Saccharomyces cerevisiae S288C: one gene and its partner. The protein of the gene in region 1 purifies or fractionates together with the protein of each later gene. This does not show direct contact. Each region holds a gene or a part of one and is shown on either strand. Other genes may lie near its edges. The genes, in order: TIM11 and ATP20.

Region 1 (2,790 bases):
GTATTCAGACAACCCTTAATCGAGGATAAGCAAGGTCCTAACATGTTAGAGATTGACCGAAAGGAACTAAGTAGAGATGATTTTGATATCAGGCAATTTACGAAGAAATACAATCTAACCGCTATTGGGGCACATATCTGGAGAAGCGAATGGGATGCCAAAGTCGCCGCCGTCAGAGAAAAATATGGCCTACCACCTGGAAGGGTTTTTAGCAGAGTTAGAAGGTGATCCTAAATAGTATGACATTATAGTATCCTGTACATATAAAATAACGTGTCATTGTTAATAAAGCTTGATGCAAATAATATAAAGTAAGAATCTGAAAAATTTTTGGAATGTGAATTTTGTTTACAATACGATACGTATGATATTAGTATGTTCTAGAATATATACATTTCATTTTTTTCCTTATTGTTTGTGCACTAACGAATGAAGAAAAAAATATGGAACATCTAGCGAACGAGAATCCATCATAACTTCGTCATTCAGTGCGAGCTAATGTGCATTTTTAGTATCCTATTTATGTTGAAGCTTCTATTTATGTTGAAGCTTCCTTCAGGGATTCAACGGCGTTAAGAATAACTCTTTCAAAATCTATATTAGGATCTTCCAAATTAAATGAGGCGTTCGCAGGCACATCTTTAGGAGTTACTACAGGGTGTAGCTTGGCGTATTCCTTCTTTGCCTCCTCTACCAGCTTCAATTTCTCCTCGTACTGTGCCTGCTCCTCTTTCTTCTTAGCATTACACTTCAAAATCATATCATTTCTAAAACCAAAAAATAGCCCCAAACCCAACGCAGAGTATCTCAAAACATTAACTGTCGACATCCTTTAACTCACTCAGCTAGTTCCTATATACGTTATGTTCCGATATAATACTTCCTTTTATCTAAAATTTCTGTGTGAAAAGTCAAAAAAACTAAAGAAAAATTTATACCCTTAAATAGATCTGATTGGCTCCGCGGACCAATTAGCGTGGAGATTCCGCGAATGATCGAATAATAAAGATATGTCTTAATTAAACCCATGGTCACCCAGCTTCGATTGAACGGTATGTATTCTTGAGTGCAATTCTTCTAAGTTCTTATTAAGTGTGACGATCTCCTCCAATCTACGCTGCTTCTTATAGTCCTGAATTGTGGACTCAATAAGGTAGCTTTGTTCCTTTAGGACCATCAATTCTTCTCTCAGCTCTTTCACTTCTTTTATGGTCAAGTTTTCGATCATTAGTTGCGATAATTTCTTTACCTCTGGTTCAGCTTTTTGCCCATCTTCATTCGTTTTATGGCCCTCTGGGTTCAAAATTGCCGGAAGCGACTTCAACGGTAGGATTTTTTCGTTTATGTATGCAGCGGAAGCTATCTTGATCGAATTTTGAAGTTGTCTCTCTAGATGACTTTGAGGTTCTACACTTAAGAGCTGTCTTGTTAGTGTATTATACAAGTTAAAAGAATTGAGTAATTTATGTCTTAATCGAGCGAGATCATTCAGATTCTTTGGATCAAGTGTATTTTCAGAATCCTTGGCAGTCTCCACCTTCAGGCTATTCAATGAGTCTTCAAAAATGGGCAGGAGACTATCAATTACTTTGGATATATTTTGCATGCTATCATATTTAGCAAATATTCCACTTAGCGGCATTCTAACGTCCTTGTTAAATTTCCTGCCAATAAATAGCATATCGATACAGTGCGAGCACAATCTTATGGATATAGGAATATGAAGTAAATCATCCTTCTGTATATTGTATTCGAATGGCAGATCTGACGCTGCAGACATTAAATAACCTATGCTTATTTCGTTTGAGCAGTTCCTGTTTGCATCATCACAAACAACCATACCACATAATCTGCAGTGATGCTTCCTTAGTAATAGCCCAAATGGTTCGGAACATATGTTACAAAAGAGTACACTTCTATCATCTCTCCATGGAGTAACTGTACGTTCTAACTTGGACATTTCACTATTCATCTTCAAATTATGAATAATGGATCTAGAATATGTGTTATAGAGTGTAATCAGACCATCAACTAGACGGACAAACCGATTTTCTAATTGTAATAGCCTTAAGTTTTTGTCCTCTCTTTTTATATTTCGTACCTTAAAGAATTCTGGTGTTAAATCTATTACTTCGCCATAATCGTTATAGCCAGGTTTTGTGACGAAACAATCATGGCAGCAATTGTACCATTTCCCGTTTCTGGGGTCATACTGTGCGGAAAGATTAAGTTTAATCATATTAGGAAGATGCCTTCTGCAATACAGTTTACCACATTTCCTACAATTAATGGCGCCAATATTGTTATTCAAAGTCCTTCCACATGTGTGACAGCAGCTCTTCCCTTTTTTGAATTTTTCCCAATGGCTTCTTTTCAACTTTTGCGCACTGCTATCAACAGATCTGGCCTTTTTTTGTTTACCATTGACTAAACGACTGTCATTGGAACCGAGTGAATCTTCATTATCGTTAAACCCATGCTCAACATCTAAATGTGCATTTAGTGCTTGTAAGTTATCAAACTTCCTTAGACAAATGGGACATGAAACATTTTCAAGATCCATAATAGATAAGTCGCCAGGAAATTCGGTGATATCCCTTTAAAAACCATGAGATCCGGCTTTGCTCTTTAGGTCGGTCAATTTAGCTACTGATCATATGTTTTCATTATTCTATTGTTTTCCCAAAGTATTACCCTGCCTGGAAATAACAGTGATAGCCAGAGTGATTCCATCGCCAGTACTTTTGTAATTCAGGAATACATTTATACCAATAAATGGCTCACATTTAA
Region 2 (3,132 bases), on another chromosome or scaffold:
TTACTCTGATGATAGAAAACATGCCAATTATTACTATAAAAGCTGTCAAATTGCGAAAACATTCATTGATTTGGACAATAACTTTTCTAGGTTTGACTCTTCAGTTTATAAAAACTTTCAAGAGCACCTAAGAAGCATTAACGGGTGATTTATTTTCTTCGTCAGTTTCTCTGTACATATATATGTATATATTTACTTATTATAATTCATAGCAAAATATATGTTTTTTTTTTTTTCTTATAGTGAGAAAAATTACTAATGATCCTGAGATCAATTTCACTGTAGTTTTTACTATAGTGCAACAAGTATGTTGTTCTTAATAAGTGTAATGAAAGCTCTGAGGTCAAGTTTTCTTTTTTACAGAAAAGTTATATTGGCCTATTTCATAAATAACTGGCGGCAAGAAGCTAATGTAATATAACTCGATATCGCTTTTAATGCCATTGTATGTCATGAAAAGAAAATAAATAGAATTGAGATGAATATATATTCTTTTTTCTAGTTTTGTTCTATTTGTACATTGATTTAATTTAATTAACGAATATACAAGGGTTTTGCGAATAGATAGAATTAAAAAGCTTAGTGATGTTTATATCCCACTAATTTTCTTCTTCCAATTATTTCACCGACAGAATAAAACCCTATCAACTGAATACCATATGCGCCATATTTTAATAGTTCATTCTTTTGGATGTTTTTTAAACACGATAAAACTTCTGTAGGCTTTAGAGCAAAGTTTAGGCTCTGCTTATAAAGGTTCGAATACACTGATTTGAACTGGGCAACAGTTGGTGGTTGAAGACCCTCTTTTAAATAAATCTGTTTTGAAATCTCGGCACCGACTTTACCATAGTATAAAGCCTTTGATGACAAAAGATTTGCTTTAGAAACCAACCCACTGGTATAATTTTGGATCCTGCTTAGCATGATGAATTGATTAGCGTTCTGAAATATGATTTATCGGCAGGTTTATCTTGTCGATTTGGACTGGAGTAGAAAATATGAGGGATCTTTGCATCTTCATTTTTCGGTCTTTAAATGTAATCATCCTTCGGGATAAATTTAGTGCGTTTAACAATATTTTCTTTCAGCCAATCAGGAATAAGAAAAAAGCCGCCCACTCAATCGAGCCTACATACAGTATTGAATAGTGTTACAAAGCATAAGGATGTAAAAAATACAAACTTGCTATAATTAATTAGTATTTATTAATTGTTACGCAGGGAATGATTGTAGTAGACAGCATCAGACACGGTTATTCAGGCGAACTGATCTCCTTACACCCTCGCCAAGGACAATGACCTTGTCCTCTTGTTGCAATCTTGACAAGGCTTCCTGGATATCAGAAGACTCAACTCTATCTTGAGAGTGTTCATTGATTTGTTTTATAAGCTCATTGAATGACATTGAGTCTGATGCCTGATCCTTCAAAACATTCATAATTTCCCTTGACAAATCCTCCTGTAGTTTTCTCTGAATAACTGATTTACCTGTTTGAACTAAATTCATGTCGATTTTACCGGTTTTAGGGTCTGTTGCATAATCTTTTATGGCTGATCTAATTAATCTAACGGCTTCTTGAACATCCTCCAGCTCTACGACGTTTTTCAATTTCATTTTGGCGTGCGCCTCAGCCAAACGAATCATACTTTCAAGTTGTCTTGTGGTAGCTGTGATTCTCTTCTCATCGGATCTCGAATCGTCACCCATCTTTCTCATTCCTACATAAGCACGAACAAGCTCAGTCTTAGCGGCCTCGGTGATTATTGGGTGTATGTGCTCCTTTGCATAACTAATATACATCGTTAAAAATTCAACTGGTAGCACGTCGTCTTGAGAAATATGTTCGGGCTTATCTTCCAGGTAAAGATTTGTTAAGTGTTTGGCTAGTTCTCTGTCATTTTTCTCATCAACCTTATCAAGGACAAGATAGACCAGATCGAATCTCGAAAGTAGTGGGGGCGGTAGATCAATATTTTCAGTCACAGGCAAATTGGGGTTGTAGCGTGAACCAATTGGGTTAGCACTGGCCAAAATAGAACTTCTGGCATTAAGTGTTGTGATAATTCCCGCTTTTGCGATTGAAATAGTCTGCTGTTCCATGACTTCGTGCAAGACGGACCTTGTAGAATCACTCATTTTATCAAACTCGTCAATACAACAAACACCTCCATCAGACAATACTAATGCACCACTTTCCAAAACAAGTTGTTTTGTGTCGACATCCCTTGTAATATAAGCAGTTAAACCAACGGCAGATGAACCTTTACCCGAAGTATACACACCACGAGGAGTAATTTTGTGAACGTATTGCAAAATTTGCGATTTGGAAGTAGAAGGATCCCCACAAAGTAAAATATTTATGTCACCTCTATAACGGCCACCCTTGGTAAAGGTTTTATTCGTGCCGCCAAATAGCTGAAGTAATATACCCTTCTTGACATCTTCTAGCTCGTAAATACTTGGGGCAATAGAGCGGGCTAATAAACTGTATAAATCTTCTCTTGCCGCAACCTCGCGAATTTTTGCTAAATCCTGATCAGTAATTTGTCTTACTTCTTCGACCTCGTTATGATCTACCTTGTTCTGCATTAATTCTTGTTCAATAGTAGAAGTATCGACGTCTAACCTCTTATCTGAAACTTTTTTAACGTGGACCACATCGACGTATGTTTTATACAACGACTTTAGTACGCGTTGCCTGGAATTAGCTCTAATGGGGATGGACCTGAACGTGCCAGTCACCTCAATACGATCGCCCGCCCTGCAAGAATCCACTAATTCATCGTAAACACATAATGAGATAGAGTGAGGCGTTTGTCCATCAGGCACAAAGTCTGGAGTTTCCTGTAACTTAATGACTTGTTTATCTGCGAATGAACACCTGTTGTGAATCAGTGACATGGAATTGGGTTCATTACAATCAATACGTTCACACCTAGCGGGCTCTTGTATAACTCCTCTATCAATTTCCACTGCCATTGTATGATCGCAGACGTTGCATTTGAAAAACGCTACCTTCATATCAGGGATAACCGGAGTTGATCTCAGGACAAGACCCTTTAAGTTTATCAATTTATCAATATCATTTGGATTCAATTCGCGCATACCTTTACAAGAACCTACATTGTA

Evidence for each region.
Region 2: the proteins of TIM11 (region 1) and ATP20 purify together in Saccharomyces cerevisiae (affinity purification with western blotting; 4 studies listed by BioGRID, with this or other methods). This does not show direct contact.

The regions. Positions count from the first base shown.
Region 1 is NC_001136.10:1,111,465-1,114,254, forward strand, and holds TIM11 (F1F0 ATP synthase subunit e), read right to left. Parts: upstream 830-2,790; coding exon 539-829; downstream 1-538. Other genes in the region: mitochondrial 54S ribosomal protein mL38 MRPL35, read left to right, coding at 1-228; PEP7 (phosphatidylinositol-3-phosphate binding protein), read right to left, coding at 1,016-2,563. UniProt on the Saccharomyces cerevisiae protein: Mitochondrial membrane ATP synthase (F(1)F(0) ATP synthase or Complex V) produces ATP from ADP in the presence of a proton gradient across the membrane which is generated by electron transport complexes of the respiratory chain.
Region 2 is NC_001148.4:597,665-600,796, reverse strand, and holds ATP20 (F1F0 ATP synthase subunit g), read right to left. Parts: upstream 928-3,132; coding exon 580-927; downstream 1-579. Other genes in the region: AGC1 (citrin), read left to right, coding at 1-148; MCM DNA helicase complex subunit MCM4, read right to left, coding at 1,246-3,132. UniProt on the Saccharomyces cerevisiae protein: Mitochondrial membrane ATP synthase (F(1)F(0) ATP synthase or Complex V) produces ATP from ADP in the presence of a proton gradient across the membrane which is generated by electron transport complexes of the respiratory chain.